Linked DNA regions of Caenorhabditis elegans. The protein of the gene in region 3 interacts with the protein of the main gene of each other region in a pairwise test. Each region holds a gene or a part of one and is shown on either strand. Other genes may lie near its edges. The genes, in order: hpo-34, magu-4, ephx-1 and psf-1.

The links.
Region 1: the proteins of ephx-1 (region 3) and hpo-34 interact in a two-hybrid assay, tested with the Caenorhabditis elegans proteins (one large-scale study listed by BioGRID).
Region 2: the proteins of ephx-1 (region 3) and magu-4 interact in a two-hybrid assay, tested with the Caenorhabditis elegans proteins (one large-scale study listed by BioGRID).
Region 4: the proteins of ephx-1 (region 3) and psf-1 interact in a two-hybrid assay, tested with the Caenorhabditis elegans proteins (one large-scale study listed by BioGRID).

The regions. Positions count from the first base shown.
Region 1 is NC_003284.9:11,514,238-11,522,273, reverse strand, and holds the start of hpo-34 (ZM domain-containing protein), read left to right. Parts: upstream 1-3,207; 5' UTR 3,208-3,256; coding exon 3,257-3,284; intron 3,285-3,328; coding exon 3,329-3,429; intron 3,430-3,486; coding exon 3,487-3,540; intron 3,541-3,752; coding exon 3,753-3,833; intron 3,834-3,884; coding exon 3,885-3,950; intron 3,951-3,993; coding exon 3,994-4,094; intron 4,095-4,151; coding exon 4,152-4,269; intron 4,270-4,315; coding exon 4,316-4,420; intron 4,421-4,467; coding exon 4,468-4,569; intron 4,570-4,615; coding exon 4,616-4,723; intron 4,724-4,769; coding exon 4,770-8,036.
Region 2 is NC_003282.8:10,006,156-10,016,145, forward strand, and holds magu-4 (PDZ domain-containing protein), read left to right. Parts: upstream 1-3,597; 5' UTR 3,598-3,660; coding exon 3,661-3,947; intron 3,948-4,307; coding exon 4,308-4,485; intron 4,486-4,527; coding exon 4,528-4,773; intron 4,774-4,851; coding exon 4,852-5,137; intron 5,138-5,180; coding exon 5,181-5,428; intron 5,429-5,478; coding exon 5,479-5,714; intron 5,715-5,758; coding exon 5,759-5,929; intron 5,930-5,982; coding exon 5,983-6,293; intron 6,294-6,338; coding exon 6,339-6,587; intron 6,588-6,633; coding exon 6,634-7,336; intron 7,337-7,379; coding exon 7,380-7,554; intron 7,555-7,744; coding exon 7,745-7,840; exon of another isoform or gene 7,841-7,890; coding exon 7,891-7,959; 3' UTR 7,960-8,052; downstream 8,053-9,990. Other genes in the region: F44D12.2 (DUF7622 domain-containing protein), read right to left, coding at 8,090-8,207, 8,251-8,366, 8,630-8,830, 8,874-9,044, 9,096-9,252, 9,478-9,645.
Region 3 is NC_003280.10:4,001,817-4,009,976, reverse strand, and holds the start of ephx-1 (SH2 domain-containing protein), read right to left. Parts: upstream 5,064-8,160; coding exon 4,960-5,063; intron 3,236-4,959; coding exon 3,146-3,235; intron 3,097-3,145; coding exon 2,887-3,096; intron 2,086-2,886; coding exon 1,299-2,085; intron 1,216-1,298; coding exon 1,117-1,215; intron 334-1,116; coding exon 240-333; intron 1-239.
Region 4 is NC_003280.10:9,966,883-9,973,369, forward strand, and holds psf-1 (putative DNA replication complex GINS protein PSF1), read left to right. Parts: upstream 1-1,790; 5' UTR 1,791-1,798; coding exon 1,799-1,897; intron 1,898-1,943; coding exon 1,944-2,008; intron 2,009-2,076; coding exon 2,077-2,152; intron 2,153-2,203; coding exon 2,204-2,293; intron 2,294-2,338; coding exon 2,339-2,548; intron 2,549-2,628; coding exon 2,629-2,694; 3' UTR 2,695-2,748; downstream 2,749-6,487. Other genes in the region: dtmk-1 (Thymidylate kinase), read right to left, coding at 1-102, 157-199; R53.4 (Putative ATP synthase subunit f, mitochondrial), read right to left, coding at 594-695, 742-985, 1,050-1,165; R53.5 (Peroxiredoxin-like 2A), read right to left, coding at 2,811-2,932, 2,977-3,196, 3,241-3,372, 3,418-3,603; aakg-5 (CBS domain-containing protein), read right to left, coding at 4,672-4,833, 4,943-5,766, 5,978-6,286, 6,371-6,487.

The DNA.
Region 1 (8,036 bases), on a different chromosome or scaffold from region 3:
GAGAAGACCCAAGAGACATCGACTGAACCTGTGTGGAAAACGAGAGAGTAGAGAGAACAAGGATACACAACTGTGACAGGGGCATGGAGACTCAATAAGAAAGCGGAGGCTGCGTTTAAAGTTATATGGATAAAATAAATTTAAAATATGTTTAGGATAAATAATTTAACTAAAGTTTTTCTAGCTTTGTATAAACGTCAATGTCACGCGCAATTCTGATAAGAAACTCTGCGTAAAGTTTAACCTTGTACAAATGTCGTATACTTTCGATTCGAAAGTAAAAGTGTGAAGCTAGAGGAAAAAAGGAAAATATCACACATATGTTGAAAGAAGTTTCATACAAACATTCAGCAAAAACTCCTACGCAAAATAACATCAATATTAATAAAAATGAAACTAAAGTAAGGTACAGAATAAACAAGTGATTTAGGTATAATTATCGAAAGGGCTCAGGCATCTAATCCGATAAGAGGAAAAGTCAAATTAATAAGTATATGTACAATAACTGCAGATTGTCTTCATCTTCGAATGTGCCAAATTCTATAATGCCGTGAACAGCGCGTCGTTACCGCAGCTCTGACCTCTGCCGTTTTGCGTTGCGCTATGCAGTGATGACCAACGGTCATCTAAACAGCCGGCTGGACAATCGATGATTTTTACGTCATACAAAACGGGGTTGAGTCGCGTAGAAACTGTGCATGAGTCGATATTTAGAAAAATTTATGAACAATTATGTTGACGGGAGAAATGGAAGATGCATACTATCAATGGGAATACATAATGGGTATGTGTAACAAATAATTTTGAACAATTTTAACTGATCCATCGAATATATGTTATATTTTTTAATAATAGGTTGTTCAAAGACCATGTTCCAACAGCAGGAATTTTTTAAAATCAAACTATAAGTAAAACAGTTTAAGTAGTGCATTTTAATAATAATATAACTTTCATGCAATACTATTTTTATGGGTCGTTTTGAGTGCAGGGCTATCAGTGATACAAAACTAATAGATCTTACAAGTAGAGATGCGCCAGAGACATTATGTGAACAACACATTATTATAACCGAAATGCCTTAAATTTTTGAAAATTGTGAAAGCTGCCTTCTAAACCATTTCAAAAGAAAAACATCCATATTGAAAATGCTTCAATTTGTAATAGTTTTTTTTGCCTTTCGAGGTTTCCGTTAAAAATTGCCAATAATGTGTAAATGCTACACTAGGAGCACTAGGAGCTCCATTTTTTCGAAAGTTATAAAATTTTTGTGCCATGCTAAAAAAAATTACAAAATCGTGAAAACTTTTTTCCAATATCCAAATTAGTAACAATTTCAGCTTGTTCTACTTTTTTTGTGATATTCAAATATTTCAGAACTATCAGGAAATGATTTAAACCCTTTTCCTACGGTTGGCGTTTTACTTACAAATACCAAATACACATTGCCATTTCCAGACACTTTTTTGATAAAGACGACCATCTTAAGAGTTGAAAGACCTGTTTTTGGTTTCATAGATGATTTTAATTAATTATTTAAAAACACTTTTGGCTTAAAACATTATTTTTTCAAGAGAGACGGAGAAAGATAAATTTCCATGGCAACATTGTCAGCGCACGAAGATTATACAACCAAGCATAGAGATTGACGAAAGATTTGTTTCCTCTATTTTTATTCACAGTTGAACAAAAATTGTGCATGTTGCTGTAGAAATGGACAGATTATGGAACTATTAGATGAAACGCAGACTGTAGAAAAATAAAAATGGCCCGAAAATAAAAATCAGTAAATATGTTTAACTGTATCTGAAACAAAAAATAAATGATATGTTGAAAAATTTGCCATTAATGTTTTATTAAACCAATTTCAGCCGTATTCTATTATGGCACGAAAAACTAATTTCCCGAGTGTTCACAGGATTGCAAGGAAAAGTTCGATGCCGACCAACAAAACATTAATTTTCGTTATAACTCAAATTCGGTAGGATATTCGAAGATTTGAACATTATTTTTCAAACATATCCATTATATCCAATTCTCGAATTTTTTGGGTATGGCATCACAAAGTCATAGTCCGTTTCTGCGTTTTTCACTGTTTGGAATTGTAACTTTAAAAATGTATCATTTTGTGTCTGATTATTTTTTGCAACTCTTAAAAATTCTTACTTACTAGTTTTGCAATGTAATAATGTGTTATACAAATTACAAATGATATCTAAATAATTATATAATTTTAAATGTATAGAAAACTTTTACTTGTCTCAACATGACAATTTTGTTAGTCAAGCTTCAGTTTCCAGTCAAATAAAACATATCACACTAACAGAAACATTTTGGATAAGTTTTTGATTTAAAATTAAATTTTTATCTTTAATTTGTCATTGTCGTTTTCTCGGGAAATATAGTGTTTATCAAAATTAGAATGTGCGTTTAACTAAAATGTAGGATTTCATCATATTTGTAATTGAGCATTTAATAAGATGTTTTCTTGTGTCTTGAAATAAATTCAGATGTATGAAAAAAACTGTATTCGTTCAGATGACTTAACGTCCTTTCAGAGCAAATATTTTCGGGTACTGGCAGACTGTAAACATTAAAAACATCGACATTCTTTTTCTCTTTGTCACTTTAGCAAATATCATCTGCTATAATTTCCACTGCAAGTGCAATGCTTGTTACCTCCCAACTGGAACACTGACAGGTTAAAAAACTATAAAACGCTTGCTTCAAACAGCATGGAATTCAGTTGGAATATAGACCCATTTCTCTCCCATAATTTTAGTTTAATTTTGAACTTATGTTTCCTTTTCTGACATTAAAATATGTTCTCATGTTCTAAGCGTGTCTAAATGGAAGTCCCCCAATAAGTCACAAAAAATTATTATGCTATCATGTAATGTGTCCGGCAAAGAATCATTTATAAATTTCTCTGCGTTTATCAAAATTAAACGTGCTCCAAAAAGTGTGCTGCGTGTCACATACTATCATACCGGTCGTTTCGAAATTGTTCTCTACCCTCACTTTCCCCTTGTCGTCGTGGTTTATCATCTTACATCAAATGGCAGTTATCATCGGCGCCGTGTTTGCCGTTTGTAGCAGAGTTAAGAGCCCGACTGCTTTTTGAAACCAATCTTCGCGTTTTACTTTTTTTCGCAACAATAATAATAATAATAATGATCTAACAACCTTTTCAAATTTAATTCTCAGCTATTTTAGGTTACCTATTGTTCGTGGATTGGAAAAAAGAACCGAAGAAAAAATGATGGAGACTAGGAATGCCAGTGATAGTAAGTATGACATTAACACATTTCCCAATTCCAGTTTTAAAAAGGTTTGATGGACCAAGTCTTTTCTGCTGTCACGCTTCCTGCTGTTGGACAAACAACTACCATCATGGAGCATCATCAAGAATCTCACACTGTTTTTCACCAAGTAAGAAAATTTTTGAACAGTTATTTTGTTGATATTAGTTATTTTATTGAATTTCAGGAGAGTCATCATGTTGAATCTCACCACGAGCATATGGAATTCTCCTCTTCTGGGGTAAGCAAATTTTTATTTACATTGTAAAGATTACTTTAACTTCAATTATAATCTGATTTTTTTTACTTCTGATTTGATAACTTATCAATTTTTTGCTCATCAAAACTGAAAATCAGTTGGTGCTCTTTGATTTCCGTGTTCGAAAAAGAATGACAGTATCGATTGATTTAAGAACAATTTTGTTGGAAAATGAACAAAAAATATTTTTTCAGGTTATCGTAGGAAACGTTGTTGGTCATGATGCCGTTATTCAACGTCGTCCAACTGTGGATACTGAAGATCAGCGGTCGGAGGTATATATTAAAATTAATCTTTCATTATTTTGAAAAAGAGCATTTATTTAGGTGTCCGCAATGTCAAAAGCCACATCAGTTTCTGTTCATTCTAGCGTTTCTCAAAAATCCGCTCAGGTATTTCAGTTCGAACAATGAAAACTATAAACGCCTTTTTCAGCACTACGATCTTCCACCTATCCCACAGTACGACATGCCTCCGATTGTTGTTGGGGAAGCTGTTGTTGGAAAGGCACCATCAGTTGCTTCTTCCAGATCAGGGTATATCTTAAGCTCACTCTACTGAAGAAATAATAAATAATTTTCACACACCTACAGGTCCCACCATTCCGTCGCTTCGCATCATTCGCATCACTCCCAACATTCCCATCATTCCGCTTTGACTCATGACAGCGAGTCGACTATTTCCGAGGGAACTCTTGTGAATGAGCCGATCGTCAGTTTTACAAAGATTAAAAAACAATTTATTCATGATTTTTCAGGTGGTCGGAGCACATGTTGCATCTGAAGCTCCAACCCCACTTGCTGTCGGACAATCATTCGAGCATGACGCAGTGATTGAGCAATTTAAAAATCTTCATGGAAGAGTAAATAAACATTTTCAAACTTAAAACACCTATAATTTCTTTTTCAGGATCAATCAGTGGTTTCCAGCATTGTTCCTGCCTCAGTTCACATTCAAAGTGACAGCGAGGACTCTATTGCTCCATCAAAGTTGACTCACTCGATTGCTGTTGTACGTTTTTAAATGACATATCAGTTAAACTGTGAATTGCTTTCAGGGAGGAGTTGTCGATTCTCACAATGGTGTCAATGTTTTGCACAGAAGTCACGAAGTTGAATTTGTGGACTTTGCTGCTCCAGCTTACTACCAACCACCATCAGTTGTCGTAAGTGTCAAGAGTTTGTGTTTTTTATTAATACAGCTTTGTTCAGGGCGCTTTTGATGCTCATAGCGAGGATTCGTTTGGTTTTGAGAAGGTGGAATATGTGGACACTCATGAGGACCATCACCACAAGTTGGAGGAACAAGTTCCGCAAGTTGTTCATGAACATGTTATTGAACAGCATTACGAGCCTTATCAAATCGTCCATGAGAACCATAATGTGTTATCGGTCGATTTCGGAGAGGATCAACACTCCATAACCCATCATGATCATGACCACCACCACCACCACCATGAATCCCATGTTACCCATACCTTCACCTCCAATGTGAAACAGTCCCGTTCTAACACTGCCTCCACTTACCAAAGTCGCCAAATGTTAGCACATAATGTTGGGCCTAAAATTACTGAGGAGTTGCGTCCGGCTGCGGTGCTGGAGGAGGAAGAGGTTGAGGTTAGGCCCCCAGTGATGGCCTACGTGGCTCCAATCCCAGTTAAGCCACCACGTACCCACGAAGAGAGTCATATCTATAACGCGTACGAAACGGAGATTCATCAGCAAAAGGATATCGTCAAGTCTACTACTGTTGTTCTGGAAGATGTCCGCTCAGGATCTGAAGGTATTCATATCCGAGCGGATAATTCTTCATCTGTTGATATTATAGGTGTTAGCTCCCTTCGCAGAAAGTTTGAGCATGGTGCTCCACCACCATTGTCGCCTGTCTTTGAAATGAAGAAGCATGAGCACCACAAGCATCTTGATCAACACCATCACCACAAACACCAAGACGTCGTCGTTGAGCAAACGCAATTCCAGGTCGGCGATAACTTCATCTCTTCTTCTTCTTCTAAAGCAATAGAGAATCATTATGACGTTCCTTTCGATTCTTATGAGATAGTTGATAAATCTGAAAACACTAAAAAATCCTCATCCTCTTACCACGCCTCCTCCTCCTACCACAAGCAAGCACCACCGCTGCCACTAGTCGATTACCATGTATATGACACGCCAACTGTTGAACATTTCTCCCATTCGCCAGCTTTCTATACTGACGATCAGCGCCACCATTATGTTCCCCAAATCAAGGTGATAACAGAGTATCGACACATCAACCCTCGTCATCATTACGTGGAAAGACAAATTAGAAAAGCTGATGGAAGTGCGATTGCACAAAGTCCGCAAGTTCAAACGATTGACTATTTTAAAGAAATCAACAGGGCTCACCATTTTGTCCCATCTACGCCACCATCGCTGTTTAACAACAAGCGAGAAAGTTTCCACCATCACAGCTTTATTCCAAACAGTTTGGAAGCTGAAAGAAAGAGTCGTAGTGTTGAAAGAGCGCACCATTATCTCCCAGATTCACCAGCGAATGTGAAAGATCAGAGAAAAATAATCAGGGAACATCATTATGTTCCTCTTGAGAAACGCTCTCAATCGTTGGATTTAAAAGTAGTTCATCCTGAACATCACTATGTTCCACTTGTCAGAAAAACAACGGAGGATCATCAACAAAAAGTGAATCACGAACATCATTTCATACCAGCGGAGAAAAAAACCGAAGCAGTCAAAGATGTTGTTCACGAGCATCACTACATTCCACTGACCGCTCATAAAACTGATGAACATAATGTGAATATCACTCGAGAGCATCATTACATTCCGTTGAAAACGGAGCAAGTGCAGAGCAAAACAGAAATTGAACGTCACAATCAATACGTTCCAATGACTACTCACAAGGAAACAAAATCGTTTGATACTGGAAGAAGCCACTCTTATATCCCATTAGGTGGAAATGTGGAGCAGTCAAAAACCGAGATTTTTCGTCAGCACAACTTTGTTCCTGTTGTTGATAAAAAGGAAAAAAACGTCGAAGAAATCAATCAAAAGCATAATTATGTGCCAGCTCATTCGAATGTGGCTGTTTCCGATAAAGAGCCGATAAGCCGTCATCACAACTTTGTGCCGCTTGCAACCAAAACTGTAGAAGAGACGCGTCACTCTAACGACTTAAGTCATCATCACTATATGCCACTGCCAGCAAAAAGGGAAGAGGGAAAGACGGCAGCGGGTGATAAGGTCGGCTACGAACATCACTATTACCCGTTGGCATCGAATACTGAACGAGTTTCGGTTCACAAAGGACAAGAGCACCACTACGTGCCTCTTATTGCTAAACCAACGGAGAGTCACGCTTCCAAAATTGTCATTCAGCATCAATATATTCCGCTAGCTATGAGACATCAAAGTGTACCGAGACTTCCTTCGGAGCACAATTATATTCCGATTGCTATTCATGACGATTCGCATCAAAAAGTCGATTTGACGAACCATCAATATTTGCCACCTATTGTTAACGCCGAACAGAAAGAAGCTGTTAAGTTGTATGAGCATCAATATGTTCCACTTCCGCCCAAAAAGGATAGTTTCGCGGTAAGAAAACTTGAAGGAAAAGACCACCATTATGTTCCTCTTGTCCAGAACTACTCATCAAAAGCTCCACAACTTCCACGAGAACATCATTACTATCCGGCACCTGTTCGATCAGTAGAGCATCATCAAAAACATGTTCATGAGCAACATAACTATATTCCTGCAGTCCATCATCATGAAACAAATCATCAACTTGATCGTCAACATGGATATATTCCAGTCGCTGCAAAACACGAAGCAAAGAAAAATGTACTCTATGAGCATCAGTACATTCCGCCAATCACGAGAACGGAGCAAACGAATGGTTATGATAGAAGACACAATTATGTTCCGGTTGGAAAAACTGCAAAAGCGACAACGACAGACATCCACGTGCATCAGGATCATCAATATGTACCGCAAGCCAGCCCAAGGAAAACTATTTCGGAGGTGAATCGCTCTCACAATTACATTCCAGCCCTTCCTCCCAAAGAGCACCAATCCCGGCATGAGCACTATCAGTCTCATTCTTACCTTCCCCCTAGTCAAAAATCTACCTCACATCAATCTCCGCCTAAACTCATCAACCACTCTTTTGTCCCTCAGATTCCACACAAGACCAAGGATAATCAAGTTGTTCATGAGCATGGATATGTGCCACCTGTCAAAAAATCGGATTTAAAAACCTCTGTCGATCATTCCAAGCATGAATATTTGCCATCAGTGGTGCACACGGAGTCCAAGGATGATTTCAAACATTCGAAACATGGATATGTTCCATCATTGGAACACTCACAGAGAATTGAACGAGGCGTCGTTTCCACCCACAACTACGTGCCTCCTGTCACTAAGATCATCGAAAAAAACGCCTCCGATCCCACAAAGCATGGATATCTCCCACAA
Region 2 (9,990 bases), on a different chromosome or scaffold from region 3:
AGGGTCTCGAGACTCGCCACGTTATTCATCATTCCTGAATAATCTAAACAGCAAAAATAAAAGAACCACAATACAATTCTTTCAAATTTTTGTTGAAATACTATGTTTTTCTTGATCCACATTTTTAATACATTTCTACTACAAATGTTAAATTCCAGTTTTTAAATTTATTTTTAGTCAAGCACGGCAGTTCTTCTATCCTTCAAAATAAGCGATCAAAAATTGGTTTTGCAGTCTTTGATAGTACTGAACTCACAAGAAATGGTAGCGCATGTAGAGGAAATAGAGGAAATGTGTGAATTTTTTCAGTCATCTCAGGATAACATGTATCTGTACTTTTAATATACCGTAATTTCCCCATTATACTTGCACTGCCTTGCTCCACTTTTACAGCTTTCTCGATTATCTTTGTTATATTTATTCATATAAAAATTGTTAACTGACAAAATATATGCAGAACATTTTTTTAATATTTATATAGTGGAATTGTTTTTGATAAGACTTAAGACAATCGAGATATAAACCGTCAAAATAGATCATTGGGGTGTAAGTCTAATGAAAAATACTATTCAATACTCGTTTTTTGCTCTAACATTTGTATATTTTATAAAATTTATATTTTATAATATTTTACAAATATTTTATAAACAAGATGTTTGAATTAAGGTAAACTAACTTTGCAAAAAACTTAACGTTTCAAAACGAAAGAAGACATACAAAAATATTCGGTATGTATGTGGTGAAGGAAACTGGTTAAACAGTGTCCTTGTGGTCCGTATCGGAAAATTAGATTGTATTCATTGATTATCTTTAAACGGATCATATTACTTGATATTATTTTATTTCAGATACGATTATCTAATTCAAATTAATGGCAAAGTATCATCAGCGGGGATTTTTTATAGTCTAACATGACCGAATATCAATTGAACACTTCTAAATTTTCAGTCAAAGTTTTGGTAATTTGCCAAATTTCCAAAAAAACTTACTTTTGGAGTAATTTCGAGAATTGCTGCAGGTCCGCTAGAATGTACGGACAATTAATCGAAATTAAAAATTCACTTCGAAAACTATGATAGGTTTTTTTACCAAAACAAATTCAATACATGAATAGTTTTAAAATAATATCTGATTCCATTAGTCCCATGAACCACTCCAGTTTCATGAAATTACAGTTTCATTGGTTTATTTCTCGGTTATTCTGATAGAGACAAATATTACCAATTTAGAATGTAATGGTAAGTCGAGGTAATATATATATTTTGATGTAAAAGAGATTTGAAAATCGGTACCTGTTAGGACACCGCATTAGCCAAATTGATCCATGTGTTCTACATAAATTTGCAATTTAATACAAGTTTGAAAAAACTTAAATCAAATTCTCGACCTACCATTTCGCGTACTTTCGCTTCGAGTTTACACCGTATTTAATTTCAAATTTGGGTTATAACTTAAAGGGTGGAGGGATTTTGAGAACTCACTACAGTATGACAAAAAAATCACACACTCCTGAAATGTTTCTTTGGTACAGTTGCACATTTCATTTTACCGTAATACCGAGTAGAAAATTTCAAAAGAATTACTCCTATTTCAAGATTCTAGATTGCAACGATAATCAAAACAATATTAATAACTACATGTGTTCCTTGTGGTATGCTTCTCGTCCTCTAGTTCTCATAAAACAAACATGGTCAAGTAAGATTCCAACGTGAATGAGATGAAGAAGCAGTAGAGAAACGAGCGTGTTTGTCCATGCGTCCCATTCGTACAGTTTCTTTGGTTGTCTACCTAAACTCTCTTGTTTTCAAACACTATTTCACCCACCTTCTCCCGCATTTCTCTTTCACTTTCCGGGAGGAACTGTTCGTTCGTCGTGCGCCCATCGCAACCGACCTGTATCTGTATGTATCCTCTCATTTCTCTCTAATAACCTACTTCTCTTCAATCTACTTGGATACATGATTTGTTATGAAATGTTTTATCTTTTATTATTTCATGAAGTTAGAATGTTCCTTATGAAATTGAGTTTACCATCAGAAGTGGATTAGAATTTAGTCAATGGGATTTCAACTACATTTAAATCTCAGCTATGTATTAAAGATAAAATCATTTTCACAGAAATTTTCTATGAATTGTTACTGATAAACGTCTATTTGTAAATTGTCAACATGCTGTGAAATACACCTAGGACTACTAGCCTGAAATTATTCCTCAACTCCAGTGATAGGTTTCTTTGGTATATCACCCTAAAAACTAGTTACACCTGCCTCGTAGGCACGAAAGTAGGCACCCTCTATTTGCATGGAAGCCCTATTATATTATAGGTAATTTTTCAGATTCACAAGAATGACATGTAGTTCAAGTTCAATTAAAATTCCTACATAAAATTCCCTACTCCTTCTCCTACTCTTTTCATTTTTCTATTTCATCTCAATTCAATTTGAACAAACTTCAAACAATTCGTTTCACACATCACAAACATTGTAAATACACATATATCGTTTGTTGAAAAAAGTCATGTGGGTTTTTAAGGTTAAAGTTTAACCGATTTTATTACACTATCTCTCACGGTTGAAATATTCAAAATAATATTTTCTTCTAGAAAACAGCGTTTCTACATATTCTGTTAAAGCTAACGGCCTAAATTTTAAATCGACTCTATTTTTAAAAAATTGATCAGGTTACCAACTAGCGATGTTTTATATTTTGTTCAAAGGTAGGAGCTCCAAAGTTTGTCAAAAGTCAAAAAAAAAAGCTTAAAGTTTACCAAGAGCCAAGTAAAAATTTATATTATCGAAACATGGAAAAACGTATCAAAACATAGTTTTTTGTTAAGATTCTCTGCCTTGTATGTTTGTATTTGAGGCGATGATGATGGCAAGACTCGTATGTTTATTCTTTTCCTTTTCCTGCAAACTCGTCTTTTAACGGATTATTTCGGACCCATGCACCGCCCATCTTGACCGTATTAAGACAGTTTTTGTGTGAATTTTCGTTGGATCGAAACACTGTGAGTATTGTTTTTATTTTGAAATATATGGATCTTATAATCTGAATGTTCAGTTGGAATATCGCAGTGTGGCTTTTGATCTCCGCACACACTTCATCTGATTGGTATAAAAATATGTGGAACAAATTACTGATTATTTTCACAGTTTTCATTTTGAAAGAAATTCAAACAGTGAGCTTAGTCAGGTTTTGGGAAAATCGTTATCGAAAGTTGAGTTTTTCAGTATTTCTAGTTTTTTTAGTGTTTCGTTTGTGGTATATGTTCCTTCATTTCATTAGCAAAACAATAACGTTGGTCTGTATTTCAAAAATCTGTCATGTATTTCCAAAAGAATATTTAAAAACATCTCGTTTCTATTTTCAAGTGCCTCTATTTTCATTCTTGTAGTAACCTTCAAATTCCAACTAATTTTAACTGTTAATTGAAGGAAATTTCTTCAAATTGTGTTATTTCTAATTCACCCGTCTTCTTCTTTTCCTCCATCTATTCCATACGAACCGAATGAACAAATCAGTGTGATATTCCTGCGCATTCGACCGGTTTCTCACTTATTTTCTTTCTATCTTTTCTCCTATTCCATCTTCTATAATTAGTCCTTTCCGTATGTCGTCCAGTTGACCCATTTCTCCGTTTTTCATTCAGAATTCTATATGGTAGAAGTGGAAGCAAAACCGTCGAGTTTGTCAGTTGAAGAGGATGAAAATGAAAATGAAGAGGAAAAGCTTGAAGATGTGGAAAAAGAGAAATTAGTGAAACAGTTAAAGTTTGAAAAAGCAGAACGAAGACGGATTGCAGAGGAAATGGAAAAAGAGATTCGAGAAGTTGAGGCAAAATGGATGGAAAAAGTTAGAAAAGCATCTGAAGAGCGAGATGATATTGGAAAGAAAATTGATGAGTTTGAAGAGAAAATTGATAGTCTACAAATACAAGTACATAGGTTAGTTCATGATTTAAATCACTAGAAAAGCTCAAAAATGTTTATTGAAAATTAAAAAGACCTGGAATTGGTACCAAAATGTATATGATAAGTGGTAGTTAACTTCCTGAAATTTCGAAATAAAATCAATATGTCATTTTTGAGAGAATTTGTTGGTGCACTTTAAACTAGAGAATTGTCGATCTGAAACTTTTCGGGCCAGTTTTTAATCATAATGATGTTGTAAAAAATTTGAATGGCTTTAAAAATTTGAAATTCAAGTTTTTTTAAACGTTCGAAAATAATTTTCAGCAGAAGAAAACTAATAAATATTTAAAAACCATTGGAAAATGGCCCGTTATGAAAAAAAATATATTTCAGAAGTGAAACATATAAAATGGAAATTGAAGAAGCGAACAAACGGCTACGGTTACAATATGAAGCTCTCCAGAGAGATTATGAGGAAACAATGCAGGAAAGAAGTATTGTATTAGAAGAAAACTCTCGTCAAAATGAAGAGAGGGATCGACTGCAAAAAGAAATTGAAAAAATGAAAGAGGTTTGATTTTACAATGACAATCAAATTAAAAAAAAATTTCAGGATTCTGAAGAAGTTGCTGCATTAAAACAGAAACTTGAAAATACAAGAAGACTCTTGAAAGTCAATATGGAAGAAACTGCTCAGGCAAATGCTCGAAAAGAAGCTGCAATTGCAAGGCTTACAGAAGCAGAACAAAATGGAGCTAGAATTACAGAAGAAAGAGATGAAGCTTTGAGAAAATGTCAACAGACAACTGGAGATGCAATTGTGGATATTTGGAATACTCATTCTGTTCAAATTAATTTGGTAAGTTGAAAGAAAACTCATTTCAATCGTTTCGTTTCAGACAGCCAAGATAAAAATTAAAAACGAAATTAATTTCAGCCCTTCAACAAACCAAACTTGGGAATTATGCTTGGTGGAGGCCGTACGGACGATGGTTCAATTGTTCATGGTCCAATATATGTTAGACAAATTGCTCACGGTTCTCCATTTGATAATGTATTGAAAAAGCTGGATCATATAATGATGGTCAATGACATATCTGTAACAGATATGGACGAAAGAAGTGTAATGGGAATGTTATCCAACTGTCATCACATTCATCTTGTTATTAGAAGAAGATCAAATTGCAATAAAATTAGTGATGTTTGTCTGCCATTGAACTATGGTGAGTTACTTATTACATTTAAGAGTGTAGTTTTACATTTCAGGTGTAGGTCTTGAACTATCCAATGGAGTATTCATTAATTCCTGCGAACCAAACGGTGCTGCTTCTCGTAGTGGATTGGCTCCAGGGCAACGAGTTGTTCATGTTATGCACACTCCTGTTTATGATGCTAAACATGCTGAGATGCTAATTAAAAATTCTCGAGAGCCTCTAGTCATTGGAATTCTTCAATCTACTAAACGAGGTGATCATAATGGAAAGGATAAACATCGACAAACTATATTTTCGAGGGTAAACCTTCGTTATAAAATGCTAGTGAAACTTTAGTATTCTTGTTTCAGTGGTTCAGTCGAAATGGTGGATCTGATAAAGAGCGAACTGTTGTTGCAAAAGCGAATATTGATCGTTCAAATGATCAAGTTCTTCTTCGTCAGGGATCTCTGCGAATGCCACAAGCTTCTCCAGCATCAATGAGTCCCTTGGTACGGTATGGTTCTCTACGTGCTCCAACCTATTCAAGTAGCATTGATCATACAAAATTAATGCTGGATGCACTGGATAAAAGATTCAATGCAAAGTTAGTTTCCTTCAAATTTGATTACTACAAAGTTGAATGTTCAGATCCACAGCGCATTCTGAAATAAGTTCATCTTCAACAGCCGCTCCAACAGCTTTATGGAGCCCATCTTCAGTTAATGAAAAAGATCTCGTATTTGCTGGAACCAATATCGAAGGAGTTCCAGTATATGTTCCTAAGAGTACCATATTTAGCACACCAACGTCACCTGTGACGTAAGATTCTTGACATTTTTAGTCAAAAAAAAGAAGAAAACTCTGACTTTCAGAAGACTAATCCGTCAAAATAGTGAGCAAAAACGAACAATGTCTCAAATATCATCTCATCGAGGAGGATGGGATGGAAGAAGCTTTTCATCGAACACGACAACTTCAGATGCTCGTCCATATTCTATGCACTTCACACCTACATCATCAACTATAATGGAAGGAAAACCCCACAGAAGATCAGCTGTTTACAGTCCAAGTCATCCACCAGTATATCCTACAATTCGGGATGACTCTATGTCTTCTGTTATGTCTTCGAGTAACTCCATTCGACTTCCAAGCACAAGTTTTTCCAATCAGTATCCTAATAATTGTAGGTTTTCAAAAGTTAACTGCTGTAGTCTAGAAATTGTTTCAGCTACCTGCAGCTTGACTGGAGGGAGTGGAGTACCTCCACGTCATTGCATAAGTAAAGATGGAAGTGATTTTTCAATTTCAACAACTGGAAGTGCAATGCACAGTTACGCTGAGGGAAGATCCAATAAGAAATATCACTTGCCACGTGGAAATCATCACTCTGAATCTCTTCTTGTAAACCGTTCATCTCAACCGAGACTGGTCGAGGTTCCAAGAAGTGATGTAAAACTTTGTGGTGGAAATGCGATTGGTACGAGAAAGCAATTCATGTCAAAATAATCTCCGCTATATTTTAGGTATCCTCGCTGAAAAATCAATTGGTTCTGACCTTCTCGAAGGAGATCTCATTTTATCAATCGATGGAAATTGCGTTCGAAATACAACACTCGAGTGTGCAATGAATACTTTATCAGCTGATAATTCGGAGTTAACAGGTCTTCTAGTTCAAGACGGTGGAGATCGATTGAATCGTTTGAGACTTGGAGCTGACGGTGACAGTTTCTTCCTTCGTGTTAATATCGATAGATCAATGGAGAACAAAGATGAACTGGATTTAAAATGTGGTGATGTTGTTTTCGTTGACAAGACTATGTTAATGGGCAAAACTGGAAGATGGAGAGCATGGAAAGTGGACAAAGAGGGACGACAAAGAGAACATGGAGCTATTCCAAGTTCAACGACTGTTTATCAGGCAATTCGAGCTAACAGATATGCAAATCCGTTCCCGAAGAAGGCTTATGAGTGGGTTGAGAAGTTGGATACAAAAGTGAAACGACCGGTTCTTTTGTTTGGAGCAGTTGTTGAGCCTTTCCTTCAAATGCTTGTTGATGAATCTGATAAGTTTTCAATTGTTGCAAGAGAGTCTTTAACTGCAAGTTTGGATGAAGTATCGGCTTTATTGAAGGATAAAGTATTGATTGATTCGAAACAAAACGATGATGTTTATGATCTTTATCACGTCGTATCAACTGCTCATATTATGGATATCACGGCTCAAGGGTTGAGTTTTCAAACATTTTCATAGTTATGCTGAGATTTTCAGACTCCATTGTGTCCTCCAAGTTGATCAGTCTGCAATTGATCGATTGAAAAGATGTAGAATGTTCCCTATTCTTGTGAAGATTCGATTCAAGTCAGTTAAACAGTTAAAAGATGTCAATGAACATATTTGTGGAGAGAAAATCAGTTCAAAAGAAGCCAAACAGCTTATTGAAAAGGTACGGTAATTTACGAAAACATAATTAACCCGCCCGGTCTCTACCGTCGTCTCATTGCCTCTCATCCAAAAACGCAGCGGGCAATTGAAGAGGCGGATCAGAGGCTCTCATCGGAGTCTATAGAAACTTTTCACAATACTTTTTCGAAACTTTTCAAAAAATTTTCGATATACCAATAATTAATTTTCAGGATTTGAAAATAGAAAAAGATCTTGATGGATCAGTTACACTTGTAGTGCCAAGTCATAATAATGTCAGCTTCATGATGACTCACGCTGTTCTACAGGTAATTATTCTTTCAATTCGTGCCGCACTTAACTTTTTATTATTTTTCAGCTGAAAAAAATAATTGAAGACGAGCAGAAAAAAATCGTATGGGTTCAAAGAAAAGTCGATGAAGAATAAATAATATTGAGAAAGAGAACATAGAATCTCCGGTGCTTTTATTGTTTGAAAATGAAGTAATTTGAAGAAATATAAATTTGTTCATATGAAAATATTGAAAGCATTTGTAAAAATGAAAGAAAAAGGTGGTTCAGTGGAAAAGGCAATAATTAATTAGAAAAACGATGGGAATGGCAAGAAAAATCGAGGATGACGAGCGAGCGGAGTCGATGTAGAAAACATTGAACTCTCGGAGATTTGATATATTTCTGAAATAATCAAAATTATTTCTCAGTTGTCAAGAGTCACAACCTGTATAAATATAGCTCAGGTGGCCAAGAGAGTTCAGCTGATTTGAGATCAGCATTACAGTAAGATTGATCACAAATCCATTGCTCTAAGCCAGTGTATGCACGGGTGTAGCCAATCTGAAAGCAATAATTCGTAAAAATCTGAAATCTGATAATAATCGTTTAACGTCTAATTACATCATCAGTTCATTTTTTAAAGTTCTTTAAAAATTATCAGAAACATGTTCGAAATTTTATCCAAAATTTTCATAAATTCGAGTCGATAATTATTTTCTGTTTTATTTAAGGCTCAAAAGGATTTTTGAAAAATTATGTGGGTTTTAGATACTGCAATTCATAATTTTTTAATTAAAAATGTTTACACAAAGACAAAATCTAACCTTCAACGGAGTGGCACCCTCGACAGTCACACTGTTAACACAACCTCTGAACACTTCTCCACGGGAAGTCGCACTTATGAAACAGAACTGTCCAATACAAGAACTTCCGGACTTAACATATGGAAGACGTGGATTAAAATAATCCACGTGGCATTCGGTTGTAGCAGTTGTCACGTCAAAGACTAATGTTGTGTCGAGAGACTGTTTTAATTATACAATGAATTGAAAACTATTCCAAACTTACATCAGAACCATAACATGCATGTGTGTCCGGTTGACCTCCATAGTTGAGCCATACGCATGTTCCAGGATAAAAATTGAAAACTGTTAGAGTTGGGAAAAAGTCAAATTCATTCTCCTTATTGCAGTCTTTGGTGGACCAAGTGTAATTGGCACTGTTCACTTCAGTTTGAGTCTGAAATTCAATAAAATTGGAATTTTCAGTAAAAGTTCAAAGAAAGAAAACCTTTGCCTCAATAAAAGTACAATAGTTTGCAGCACACGGCTTTGTCCATCTGGGTTTTGGCATGTTGTTCACTTTTTCTGGTTGACAAGTCTGAACGGGAAGAATTGTTGTAGCAGTGTCAGCAAGTGATGTGTAGTTGGCATTACAGTAGTCAGCGCTGGATGTTTCAACAATTTAATTAGTATTCATCCTTTTTTCAAAATTTTTTTAGTAAACTGTAGAACGGGACACCCAGGAAATTTTTACCTTTTTACTAGAGTTAACGGTTTTTATAAAATAATTATCACCGACATAAGAGTGTACAGAAGCAACATTGAAATTGTTTTTTAAAAAACTTTGACGATGAAATTAAATCAAGCTTTGAAGTGAAATACCAACTTACTCTGAACAGAAACACATAACATTTCCATGATGATTGACTCTACATCCTTCTGGAGCAACTTCCCCTATAACACATCCTTTTTGTATCGTTGGCATCATTTCATTTCCATAAAAATATTGAGCATGATAACAGAAATCTCCCCGACATGTACTTCGAGAAAAGTTGCATCTAAAAATATAAGAACATTTTTTCCCGGTACTATTGCTGTTAGATTTTCCTATTGTTAGATTTTATCACTAGATTTCCGAGAGTGTTAAAGATAAAACATGTTGGGCGACCAGAGTGAAGATACAAATAAAATTTTCAAATAGATTTTTATTTAATAAAGTTCAAGAAAATCGTGTTATGCGCTGACAAATAGGAAGTTGTGTTCTCAGAACTTTTCTCTTGAAATATATAAAATTTCAATTGAGATGTTGGCAGGAGTTGGATTATTCTTTGAATTAATAAGCTTTGGCTATTTTTTACCTGAGGTTTGCCATCTTCCTAACCAAGTTTACACTTTTAACATAA
Region 3 (8,160 bases):
TTTTTTCCGAAAAAAAAAATTACAAAAAAAGCAAATTCCTAGTATTACAGTAGGCTTACGACACCTCCCTGACAATAGATTTAGTGTAAGCATTTGTGAATAGTAGGATGAAATCAAAACCACCGGAACTAAGATCATAATTCCTACGTTGACATGATTTTTCAACAATTGGACATGGTAGGAGGTAACCAGTGAAGGGAAAAGGGGAAAAAAGAATTTGTAAACTAGCAAAAGCTTACCGTGATAAATATCATCATCATCACTGCTCCAATCATCCCCATAAATGTGATCGTCATCCTGGAACGGCTTGTCAACGCAAGACGATTTTGACATCTGGAAAATTCAAAAATTACAACAAATAAATGTGAAAAAAGGGAAATGGAAATAATTCCGGAATTTGCCTAAACAAATTACATAAATTTCAATTTAATTTTTTGGATACTTTTACTTTGGAAATTCATTCGTCAACCGAAAAATCCAACAAAAAATTCAGAAAATCATTTAAAAATGTTTCCTGAAAAACTCAAAAAAATCTTTAAAACTTTGACAGAAAAACTCAAAAACCGTTTTTAAATTGGCTTAAAGTTCATAGACTCCAAAAAAATTATGACCAGAAAATTCAGAAAATCTAAGGAGTTTTCTACTATTTCTATTTAAAAAAATTACTAAAATGTTAACTGGGAATTTTAGAAAACATGTAAAAAATTTGACCAGAAATTTCAAGTTCCAGGTAAAAAATTTAATCAGAGGTGTCATGAAAACTTTAAAGTTTTGACAAAAAATTCCAAAAATTTTTATATTATAATTTGATTGAAAATTACAGAATATCTATAAAAATTTCAATTAAAAATTATAGAATTTTGAAATAACTGACTTGAAATTTCAGAAAAAAATAGACTTTAATGAAAAATCAAATTCCTGGAAATTATTAAAAAAATTTTAATATTGACTAAAAATGCAATAAACAAAAATTTGCTTCAAAAAATTTAGAGTAAACCTTTTTAATAATTCTAAAAAACTGCCTAGAAATTTCAGAAATTATTTTCAAAAAACTTACTTCAAATTTTTTTAAATAAATTTTTTTAGTTTCTGGATATTTTTTCTCAAAAAACTCACCATAGAACTAAAATCAGTGTCCAGTAGATCAACACTGACGTGGCACTTTGATCGTCTCTTCGCTTGTTTGTCGCCGACTTTCTGCCGTAATTGGCTAACCTTCAATCAGAATTAGTTTGATTTGTCTTTCTTGTTTTGTTTTCTGAATACCCAAAAAGGAACAAAAAAAACAAAGCACCAACCTTTTTCGACAAATTAAGCTGCAACTCGCTCTTGAACCTGAACAGCTTTTCCAGCTCCATTGAGCTCATCCTTTTCGAGGATTTTGGATTCCTTTGGAGAGTTGAGGAAAGGAAGCGCTCTTTGATTTCCGGCACTTTTTGAAATCTTTGTTCTTCCAGAAGCTCCTCTTCAGCTTCATCAAAGATTTCCTCATCCCGAGGATAAGCCCGTCTGCTTGAATTGGGCTCTGACCCGGAGGCTCTAGGAGGCTCCGGCCTTGAAAAGTCGGTAGACTGAGATTCATAGGTGTACTCGGATTCTAGACGTTGATGTGTAGGTATACATGTGTTTGATGATGGCGTGACCAGCATAATTTCATCGTAACAGTTGTCGTCATCCAGTGGAATAAAAGGGACATCTGGGACGGGGATATTCGGGATTCTCGGGAGACCTCCTGTGCTGGAGGATGTTGAGCTGCTCCGGAAACTGACCGGCAGGGTGTCAAATTGATTGGTAACTGGGGGTGGAGGTGGTGGGGTCTTCAGACGAGCCCTGGGCAGCGTGGCAGACATAGACCTCGGCGCGGGAGTAGGCTTCAGGTAGGAAGGAATCCTCTTGATCCTCTCCTTAGACGGAGGTACAGATGGTAGAGGTGGTGGTGGAGATACAGCGGAAAGATCTTCTGACGAAGAAATTGGAATTGTTAAGGACACTCGACACCGCTCCTCGTACACTGGGTGACCATCTTTTTTGGAATGGAAAGATGGAGAAGGGGAACTTTCAACAATCATGCTTGTTGTTTGAAGACTGAAATAGAAAGGGATTCTTATTTACATTTCTGATTCGTGAATCATAGAGAACCTTGAAACATTCGAAAAATGAGTCACTGTGGGTGGAATTGAAAAAAAAAGTTTTTTTTAGAAATTAGTTTTTTGTTTGAAATTTTTAATGGTTTTTCGAAGTGGTTTCATTGAAATTTTGCTTTATTTATAAAGAACTATTTAAAAATTTGTCTGTTTTGTATTTTTATAAAATTGTATTCTATTGAAGTAAAAAAAGTAACTTTTCAAAACTTTAATCAAGATTTTGAAAGCCGGAAGGTTTTGGAAACTGAAATGTTTTGAAGAGAAATTGAATTGAAATTTTTAAATTTGAATTTTTTGAAATTTTATTTGAAGATATTGTTGTAAAAGATTATTGTTGTAAAATTTATAAAGCTTCAAAATTGCCAAAAGTTCAATTTTTGTATAGTATTTCAAACTAAATTATTTAAAATAAAGTTTTAGACTGAAAATTTTCAGAACAACTTTAAAACTTTGATTAAAAACATTATTTTTTAAAATTACCCCTACAGTACCCCACATCACTCCTACAGCATTCCACAATACCCTACAGTAACCTTACTGTACCCCTACAGTACTACTACAGTACCCCTACAGAATACCTACAGTATTCCTATAGTACCCACGATGTAATCTTACATTAATCTACAGTATCCCACAATACCCTACAGTAGCCCTACTGTACCCCCACAGTTCTTCTACAGTAATCCACAATACCCCTCAAGTTGTCATACAGTACTCCTACAGTACCCCTCATTTCACCTACCGTAATCTAGGTGCAGGTAGCGGTGTTATCACAATTGGAGCACCCGATGCTCCGGCACCCGTCGGTGAAAAGTCGCCAGTGGATTTGCTCTTCCGAAATTCAGAAGATGTGACCAGGACGGCGAGCTCCGAGTTGCTCCGCGTTCGTCGTTTCAACGAACTTTTCCGTCGCGGTATGGCGCTTCCACGTAGCACTCGTGATGTGCACGGCCTGAAAAACAAGCAAATTAAGAGCAAAACTGAAGAGGAAAATTACTTACTCGTGAAGGTTTTCCACTACCCGGAACTTGCCGATTCGTTTGGAGATCACCGGTTTGTGGTGCTCAATTCGGCTTGTGCTGGTTTCGAATCTGGAAATCGGAAATAGCTTTTGGAAGATCAATTTTAAAATTGCAAATTCAACAAGTCGCCGACTAATCAGCGTATTCTAATAGGCGTGGCTAACGTCGCTGATTGGTTGGCGCAATTTTTTTTAAATTTTACATTCTATAATACTACAAAAAACGAAACGTTTCGGCAAACTCAAAAATTGTTTAACAATCTCTCCAAATGACCATATCGTAAAAAGGAGTGGTCAGTGATGAGGCGTGGTGGGAATATTTGATAACAATAATAATAAAATGATGGTGATAAGGCAGGGGGAGCGGGGAGACATACACATTTTGGAAATTCTTCAGAGATGTACTAATGAAGAGAGGGATGCGGTAGGTAGGTTCCTAGGCAGGCAGGCGCTAAAGCTAGGAGATGGTAAATTCCAAATAATATACATCCTAAAGTTGAAGTTTGGGTGAAAGTTGGAGAAAGTTTCCAAAAGATTCTGAACATTTTTAATGCTTTTTTAAGCTTTCAAAGTTGAGCTGATATTAGAGTAAAACTTCATAAAAAGTTGCCAAACTTCTCCGAACCATCTCTAAAACTCCAACAATTTTCCCACGAAGAAGCTTCTGGAAGAAATGACGACGCCCTCGGTCTCTCTTTACTTCTTCAACCGTTTTTCTTCCTGTCCGGTTTCAATATATTATGTCAATCAACCGAAGGGTAATGTGCTGCTATTGTTGGCTGGAGAACAACTGTGTTGGAGTGAGTGTGTGAAGGAGGAGGAAAAGTAGTATTTGTTTGACAATCATACAGAAATTGAATTGCAGACATATAAACAAAAAACTTTTTTTTTAAACGAAGAAGCATAGGACAAGAGAAAAGTTAATTTTCTAGCTGGTTATTCTATTGGTATGAAAATTTTGTGTTCTACACTTTGGCAGCTTATGTATATTCCGGTGAAATTCAAAAATATCCAAAATTGGTCAATTGCAAAACTATTGGAAAATTTAAAACCAAGATTTTCTCAGTTAAGAACTTTTTGATAAAAAACTATGACAACTTAGATATGAGCTGCCAAAATTAAACTTAAATAAATATTTTTTGAAAAAATGGATAGAATCTATGTGTCAACAAGCAGGCGGGGACAGTTTTTCAAAAATAAATGTTTGGTAAAAGTTTGGCTGAAAATAAGCAACGATGACACGTACAAAGTGGGAAAAAGCTACAGTACTCCTACAGTACCCCTACAGTTATCCTAGAGTACTCATACAGTACCCATACAGTTATCCTCCTACAATACCTATACAGTACTCCAATTTGTTCCTCTACAGTACCCTAAACTGGTACTACAGATGTTATTACAGTAAAAGCCTCATTTTGTCCCTTCAGTACCTATGCAGTACTCCTAAAATAGTCGAACAGGTTCCTACAACACTTCTGCAGTACTCCTACAGTTCCTCTACAGTGCCCTTACCGGCACTACATCTGTGAAAGCCTCCCACTGCCCCTACAGTACTCCTACAGTACCTACAGTACCCCTGAAGTAGTCCACCCTACAGTATTTCTACAATACCTCTATATCACTCCTACAGTACCCTACAGTATTCCTACCGTACTCCTACAGTACCCCCACAGTGTCCCTACTATACCCTACTACCCTGCAGTACTGTACCCCAAAAACCTTATAGTACCACTTCTACAGTAACCTTAAAATATCTCTACACTCTACAAAATCCTATAAAAAATGCTGTCTTACCTCTTGGCAAGTTCCTTAACACTGGGCAATCGCATTTTCGTCGTCGTCGTCGTTGTCGCGATCTTCTGGGCTTCTGATGTCGTCGTTGATGGTGCATTGGACATTAGATTTTGGCTCAGATTACCCCCAGACACTGTAAATTTCATATATTTATTTGATTATGTTTTATTAATCTAAAAATAGAGTTTTTTTTTCAAAAAAAGCGAGAAAAAGAGGAAAAGAAAACAGAGGAGATGCATGCAACAACTCTCGATGGGTTAATCGCTTGATTCAACATTTGAATGTGTGAGTGGAGCCCCCCGAGAGAGCAAGTGGGAAAAAGAGCACAATAATATTGATGATGATTGGGGCGAATGTTTATACTGCGCACCACATACACACTTCCCCAAAAAATCGCGGAAAAAATTTTCATGATGAAAAAAACATCTTCCTTTTCAAGAGCTTTTGGGAATGATAAGCCGAGGAGGGGTTGCCTACATTGTGTCTGCCTAGGGCCTACCTAATGCCTACCTAGTGCCTGCCTAGTGTCTGCCTAGCACCTGCCTAGTGCCTATTTGGCACTTCCTATCTACGACCTACAGAGTGCTTTCCTAGTGCCAGCCTAATGTCTGCCTAGAACCTACCTTCTGCCTGCCTAGTGTCTGCCTAGTGCATGCCTAGTGCCTGCCGAGCGCCATTACAATTAGAAGCAAACTATAAAAATATTTCTTAAAAGCTTATTCAGAAAGAACAGAACTAGTCTGTCGACCTAGCCGTCTCGGCTACTTTGCTTCAGCTATGTAATGGCTACTTCCAGACCAGCACTTAATACAGACCCCCTTTTCAACATTTTTCCAATTTGCCAAAGAAATGTGTGAAGTACTTAAAAGAATAAAAAAAGTTAGTACAATAGACTCTAACAACAAAGAAACCTTGAAAAATGGGGGTCAATTACATTTCTTTTTCTGAAGTGAGGTTAAATGGTAAGTGAAATTTTTATACAAAGCTTCTCCTAGTAAATATGCATTTTGCAAAATCTTCAAAAGTGCTGCACAATGAGCAGAACACACGACAGGAAGCGCCTTTTCTCCTGCGAGACCATGGTCAGTGGTGGTCAATGCGCGAGAATCGGGAGACGAGGAGACGCAGATGGATAAGGAAAATGTGTGAAAAACATACGGGAGGCAAGGATTGCAATTTGCATTTACTGACCGCGAGCACAATGTTGATGGGTGAGTGACATTCGAGAGGACTACGAAATGGATATTGCAATATTGCACTTGAGTTTTTTTGTTTTTTTATGCTTCAAGAGCACCACTTCTACCTCAGAGTTCATGCTTATTAGGAGGGTTACTAGTTAGATTCAGGCTTCACAAGAAAGTCTAAAGGCTCAGGCTTAGGCTTATTCTTAGGCTCAGGACTATGCTTAGGCTCGTCTCCAGTATCTAAGTATCTAATTCCAAAATTTCAGACTTCTCTTCGACCTTCATTAAATTTCGACCAATCCTCAAGGTTAAAACGAAAAATTCTTAGGGCTTTAAGCATATCCTTCTTTTTGAATTTTTGCTAAATTTTCAGACTTTCAAAACTTTCAAAAAAGTATAAATCGCATAAAAAGCTAACCCTTGAATTTTACGTATTTACAAAGCGCAGAATGGCATCTACGCTCATAACTCATGAAATTTGATTGATGAACAGCTTGCTAGTCGAGAGTAATATTGTTCCGAGGGGAAGGGTGACACATACGGAAAAGCCATGACAAAGTGAAATTGGTTGGTATTTGAAAAAGGTCAAAACTAGAACTTTTCAGATTTTTTTAAAGTTTAGAAGTTTTAAAACTAGTTTTCTAGCTACTATTTTAAAAGGTGTTGTGCTCCCGTGACCTCCCACACAGAATCAAATATTTGAACTTTCAAACGAGCGTAACAAAAGACTATTTGCACAATCACAGATACACAACACACATTCTTGAATGATTTCGAACACTTTCCGGTTTTTGAACTTTTTTTTGAATTATTAGTTGATCAAAATAACTTTAAAAAATTCTGCTAGGTGTTCCTGGAAATTCTATAGGTACGAAAATATTGTGTAAATTTTTCTGAAAAGTTTTGAGGTTTTGACAAAAATATTCAAGCTAGCTCCGAAAGAAGACAATTTCAGATATTTGACTACTTTATCGATTTCTAGAGGGATTATACTTTTCTGGAATTTTTTTTGGAAATTAATCGGGTTTTTTAACTAAAAATTGTATCATAATTTCTTTAGACAAATGTCTAAAGAAATGTCAAATTTTTTTCTTAAAAAAACGAAAAATTCTAAAAATTTTCAAAAAGCAAATTTAGCTTAATAAGCTTGCCCACGTGGCGTCAGGATGTCCCATCTCGGTTTGATCTACAAGAATTGCGGGAATTTAGACGCTGTCTTTTCAACTGATTTTACATGGATATAAACGTGCTGACGTCACATTTTTTGGGAAAAAATTACCCGCATTTTTCGTAGATCAAATTGTAATGGGGCAACCTGACACCACGTGCTTGCACTAAATATTCTCCAAATCAAAATAAAAGTTCAAAAGAACCGAAAACTGAAACACTGTTGTTGATACTAATGAAAAGTAAACAGCCCACGCCGATTGTGTAAAAGAGAGGTTTCGAGTGAGAGGGGGGATTGGTCTTTCTGCATAACCCTCAAGGGATTTATAGTAGAAGAGACGAGAGATTTAGAGAGTGAAAGGAAATGTAGTAGTACGACATGCAAATGTACAAGTTCACACTCCCTTTTCCTCGTTCTCAAAAGAATCAAATCGTTTCCGTACAGGTGCTCAGTCAGCTGGAAGACAATTCGGTGGTTATTGTATTAAAATTTGATGGTCAATTGGACTATTTGTTGCGAATCTATAATAGTTTTATTTCTATTTTCCTGTTCAATTTACAATGTCCCAGTGCCAAGTGCTCTCGTACGAAATGTGTAAAGATTTTACCGCTGCACTCTATTAAATATATCAATTGACTTTTGAGAGAGAAGCGGCTCGCTTCGGTGCCAAAGGTGACAAGATATATGGGAGGCGGGAAATTGCGAGAAATTGAACTTTTTGAAAGAAAAAAAAACGTTTTGGAGATTTTTATCGCCCATTTTAAAGCGAGGATTCGGAAAAGAAAAATATTGGGAACTTTCTGAAATTTTCTTTTTTGGAATTTAAAATATTTTTGAAATTTTCTAAGT
Region 4 (6,487 bases), 6.0 Mb from region 3:
CGGCTGATGGGGAAGATGAAGCATCTCCGGATTCTGTGGATTTTTTGTTGATGGACTCAACGAGTCGCTTGGCTTGTGTCGACTTGCCGGACCGATCGAGCCCTGTTAAAATATTAAAATATTGATATTTCTTTAAAATTAAGCTAAATCAAATACCTTCGAATACAATCAGGAGCCCTCGTTTCTGATCAGTAGCCATAGGTGAAGAGATGAGGCTCTGGAAATAAGACAGCATGGAGAAATATAAAATAAAATAGAAACATGAAGACGCGCTTCTATAGAATCGGAACTTTAGATCTACAGATTCAAATCTAAAGATAAAGCCGACAGCGAAAAAATCCAGAAAATCGCATCGGCTATCTAACCTTCTTCTTAATATTTCTATTCAACCGATCCATACACTATTTATTCTCTCATAGAAAAAAGACACAAACGGACAAAATCGATAGGGGACTAAATTAACAGAAGACGTCTCGAGAATGAGATGAATTGGGGGAAAAAAGAATACGAAAAAATCGGATGGCTGTTTCGTCCTCCCCCAGCGACAGAGTTTGTATGTGGAGCTTTGAAGAGTAGACGAAATCGGATGGTGTCTACCAATGGTACATCGTCTTCTGGAAATCGACGTAACGGTGAGACTTGACGAGCCAATTGAGGAACGAGTAGGCGAAGATGAAGCGGAAGATTACCTTGACCTAAAAATAAAAAAAATTAGTATTTTTTTTTTAAATTTAAACGAACAGTGTTATTGTAGACTGGTCCTGAGTAATAGAGGTTGTGGACTCTCCAGATATTGCGCATGAACTCGTTGTAGAAGGCAGATGGGGTCTTCTCACGACGAGCCATCCAGGCTGGAAGATCTCCTAGCTTCACATCCATGAACTTGGTATCAAGCTTTCCGTAGTATCTCCAGTGGCAGTATGGTCCGTGAACGTTCTTGTTCCATCTCTTGTCGAACAATCCAACCTCGGTCTTGTTCAACACGCTAAAAATTATATCGGTTATTTTTGGAAAAGAATTTTATTCGTCGTTTTCAGACAATGACAAACCGGTTGTAGAAGAACACTCCGACACGCTCAACGGCGCGAGAGATCGGGATAAAGATCGCGTCCGGAACCCATGGTCTGAGTTGAGTGTGTGGTGGTGGAGGACGGAACCAGGCCATAACTGAAAATTCGAAGAATTAAAAAAATAAAAATAAACCAGATATTTAATTAAATAGTGAGAATCGAGTAACGATTAAGCCAAATAATCAATAAACAAGAAATTAATTAGAAAAACAACCAAAACAGGCATTTTGTTCAATTTAGCAAATATACACATGAATATCAGGAAGAATATACATTTAAAAAAGAACGTTCCAGCTCCAATAATCCTTAACTATGTGCTAAATATTGTTTTAAATATAAACATGTATTTTTGTAAACATTGATCATTATCGACCATGGGATTACGTTTCAGTAACGCCTAAAACGAATTTAACTCAGAATTTAGTGATATATTTGATTTTAGAAGAAATTAATTGAGTAAATAATGAAAAATCGTCAATATTCCACTTTTAAAAAATGCTTAAGAAAAATGTGTGCAGTTTTCAACGGGCGGCGATACATTTCGGCTAATCGCTGCGAGACCCATGGCCGTGGCCGAGTCTACAACTAGTTCACAAGAGCCGAAATGGTGGGAAAGTCGAGGACTTTAAATTTAATGTTTTTTATTTTCGAATTTAATATTTAAAATCAAGTATTTCCCTTTAAAATTTTATTTTTCAAATCAACTTTTAATTTTTGCAGTTCAAAAAATGAGTTCCGGCGATCAGAATCGAGGAGGCGTCGCCGACAAAGCACTACAACTTGTTTTAGAGATGAAAAGAAATCCAGATGTATTACCGCCTTATAACGTAAAATTATATCCTATTTTCTGCTTTAAATTTGAGTTCTTTTCAGACAGAACTTGTACGCCAATGTTATCAGAAAATCGATGAGTTGTTTCAAAAGAATGCTGCCGTCGTGTAAGTGATACATTTCGGAAGCGTACCGATTCGTTCGTGACTTCTTGATTTAAAATCATATTTTTCAGTGAAAAAATCCGTGCAGGACTCCCTCATGATTCTACGCTTCTTCAACCTCGTTTAGCTGCAATGTGCCATATTCGAGTAAGTCGAGAAGGTCGATTTTTGAAATATTGTAGTGGTTCAATTTTCCAGCGTTGCATGATGGCCTATGTGAACGAGAGGAAAAACAGGATTCGATCATTCAGATGGAAGTATGGAGGTGCTCTTCCCGCGTCTGTTAGGGTAATCGGTGCACATGATTAAAATTTGTCAACCATTATTTTTCAGAACGCCCTCTGCGATGCGGAAATTCAGTTTTTCAATGAGTATTCGAGCACATTGGCAAGATTCCAAAGCAATCTTGGAGAAGGTGGTGTTAATCTGCTGCTTCATTCTGCACCACCGAAGTCACTTTTTGTACAAGTTAGAGCTCTCGAGGATTATGGAGAATTTGAAACGTCAGATGGAACTCAAGTTCAGCTGTCCAAGGATAGTTTGGTAAGTCTTCGAATTTTTCTTTATTTGAAAAAAGAGAAATCCCGTTTTTAATTTTTTAAATAATGTATAACATTTTTCAGCACTCCCTTCCACGCCAAGACTGCGAAATGCTGATACGTCAGGGTGTTCTCGAGCTTGTTCATTGACTTGTTGTCGGTATTTTGTTTTCAACCTGTGATCTGTATAAATAGCTTCTTGTCAGTTTATTTTACAAAAAAAGTAGCCTCGTTTAATTAATTAAGAAAACACATAAGTTAAAAAATTATTTCGACTTCTCCGAGAATTTCTCGACGGCAGCACGAACTTCCTTGATATCGGCAGCATCTCCCCACTCCTTCTCCAAATGAGTGAACACGATGTCGTTGTTAGCAATCAAATAAACACCTGAACAATTATTATGAAAAAATAATTTTAATAATTTTTCGTACCTCCCAAAAGTCTTCCCTCTCCTTCCATGTTTCCCTCGACCTTGGCTTTCTTTGCTTTGTAAACATTCGAGTAAGTTCCGAAACGAAGAAATCCCATCCAAACTGGCAGCCAGCGTTCGTTTGGACCGTAGAAAGTGCGATCAGTGTCCAAATAGACATCACCGCCGGAGAACCAAGACTTGAACTCATTTGCTCCACGAGTCTCGTGCACAACGGCGGCCTGAAAGCAAAGTTTTAATTTTTCTATTTTGAAGGAGCGCTTACCAGTTCGATTCCTTTTTCCTTGAGCAACGGGAGCAGTGTGTGCAATTCAGCAGCTTCACGACGGCACAGCATACATCCCGGACGACGTACAGCCATCACCATGATCGGACCTTTCTTGAACAACGAGTCGGCCTGAAACTTCTCAAATAATTTTAATTTTAGAGTGAAAATGTTTACCGTAAACTGCTCATTTCTCTCCACAACTTCTTTTTCCTTCGGTCCACCACGAATTGGGACAAGTTTTGCGGCCGCCAAATGAGCAAAGGTTGGAGCAACAGCTCCGATTGTCAAATAAGTGGGAAGATTCGCGTAAACGAGAGCTCCGCCGAGAGCAGCGGCAGCTCCATAACCGAGAAATGCCATTTTCTGAAAGAAGAAGCTTTGGAAACTTGGAGTTATTCGAAAAAATGGTGACCACTTTGAAAATGCACATTAGAGACATTATTTTTGAATCGTCACAGCAAAATGAAATGCTCAGAAACTCGTAATTTAGTGAAATTCGCTATTACGGCCTTTTTTCAGTGTTTAGTTTTTTCTCAAATGAAAAGAAATTGAACTTAACATTTGGCTGACTAGTGAGTTCGTCGCGAGACCTATTCAGAATACTGTATGCGTCTTTAAAGTGAAGTGTTAAGTTTTGAAGTAATTATGATACAACTTTTTTTTCGTGGAAACTCAGTAAAAAATCGTCTAAAAATAAAAGAATAAAAAGAATTTCTGTTGGGAAAAGTTGTGTATGTGAAAAATGGTAAACAAGTTAGAGTGTAGTGTCTTATGGAAATAGTATGCAATTCTGAGAGAACGCATAGAAAAACGCTGATAAACACTTTTTGGTCGATGAGCTCTAGGCGTTCGAGTTTTTTTTTCTTCAAAAAACACCAGAAATCTCAATTAATCTGAATTAATCTGAAATATAAAATTTCTATGAACTTCAGATATCATTTTGTTCTGAAAATAATCACTCTACAACACATTGTTTTAAATACTCATTTGAAGAAGGAACAACTTCAGAATTCAAGAACAGTTGAAAATCGGGGGAAACATCAATTTGAAACAGGAAAAGAAGGAACAGAAGAAACCGAGAAAATAAGTACATTATTATGGAAGTGCATGTGATTTGTCAGGAGGCATGAAAAGTGAAATTTGGGGTTACAAATTATCCCCAAGAGGTAGCAGTAAAGCTCTAGGTGTTGTAAGAAGAGAAAAATGGGACCGAAATGATGCGGAAAAACCAAAAAAAAAAACAAGAATATGATTATTACAGGAAAATGGTAAACATTGAGCGAAACGATGAAGATTAACTGGGAGAAAAAAGCTAGGAAACGGTTGAAATTCTACTTATTTTAAACGAGGAATCGGGATAAATAATGAATGGAACAACGGAAATCGAGAAAATGCATGGATAAAACGGGGAATATTTATTGGGAAAATCTAAAGATTCTTCAGCTTGCTGCAGACATTTTCAGTGCTGCTCGAATTGGATTCCGGAGTGGGTGGCATCGCTGGCTCCTGTGATGGTTCTTCATCAGTTGTTGCCAATGGAGAACGAAGAATGTGTGATAGGAAATCTGTTAGAGAAATCACACCAATCGCCTGAAAATTATAAAGTTTTGAATAATTAGAATTGCTTTGGATTATTTATTTTTAGTTTAGAGATCCAGAGATCCTCTAAACTAAAATAAAAATGTTGTTAAATTTATACCTTTCCATTGTGAATAGCGAATGCACTTTGTGTGTCTCCTGCGAGTAATGTGTCTAGAACCTGCCCAACGCTGTCAGCCGACGAGATCAGTATTTGACTCTTACAGATGTGAAGAATATCAGACACTTTAGTCTCCTGAAGCCAACGCTTTGGTTCGATGAAGTTACGTGGAAGTGCCTTGCAAATATCTGTCTTCGTGATAACGCCGATCACATTTTGCTTGGAATCGACGACTGGAAGCGCGGAATAATGGAATCCTAACATATCCTCCATAGCTCTGTATACGGTTTCATTCTGAGAAATCACTGCAACATTCTCCCATGTTCCAATGGCAGACATTCCAATCGATTTGGACAGCCACTGTGCAAAGTGAAGACTTCTGTTTTGCTTGTGAATTGCTGCGATGACACGTCGAACAGAAATGATGTTGACAACTTCTTTCGCATCATCCAAGACCACGACTCGATGCAGACGATTCTGATGAAGTTCCTCGCAAAGATCCAGAATTTTCGACGAGATTGAGACACTGACCAGTTGATTTCCACTCAAGATATCCGAAGCTCTGAGAACTTGACCATCTGCCGGTGGTGTTTCGTTTCGGATCGCATTAAGGCAATCAGTGAGAGTTAGAATGTTTCTCTTCACATGACGAGCATCACTGGTATCCCAAACGATTAGAGTTGTGATGTTGTGATCTCTCATGATTCTGAATGCCCGGGTAGTAGGAGTCGATGCATCAATAATGATCACTTTTGAGTTGTTTGGGCAAAGTTCATACACATCCACGACTGACATGTACTGATGATAGGGATCCGTTTTTTGATCTGAAAATATGATTCTATAAAAATAATTTTTCTATTTGCTCAGACGAGAAATTTGCTCAAAATACAGTAACCCGTCTCGACAAGCTTTTAAAGAGTACTTGAAATTGAAGTTTGTAATTACATTACTCTTAGTGGTGTCGAGACCGGGTAGCGTATTTTTGATGCAAAAATTGCAAAACTTCGTGGTTGGGTAGAACAGTTAAAATCTAACCAATAACTCCAACGACATTGAACGAGATCGGACGAGACGTTTTCCTCAGAATCAACAAATCCGAACTATTGGATCGCGGTCTTCGGAATCCATTGTCATCATCGTAGAAGTGTGCATGTTTGTCTCGAAGATCGTAAACCGCTTCCACGTTGCACTCAGCCACCTGTACACGTCTTGTGGCTTCTGGACGACGGAACATACTGGCTCCTAGACTTCCGGTGCGTGGATGGATGAGATCACGAACTTGAGACAAAAACGATGGGCGGCGACCACTTGTCGAGTTACGACGTTGTTCGGATGCTGGTGTGTCTGGAAATAAATACTTTATTAAAATTCTAAGAGAAGTAAAAAAGGGAAATTTGTATTCTATTCAGAAGATTTTTGATAGCTTACTTATATTGTTATCCACCTCATTCTCCGCATCAACCATCACAACTTCTACCCGATTTGAAAACTGAACACTTTTAGGCCCTGCTGTAAGGCTTGGGATCGCTGAAACCACTGTTTCAT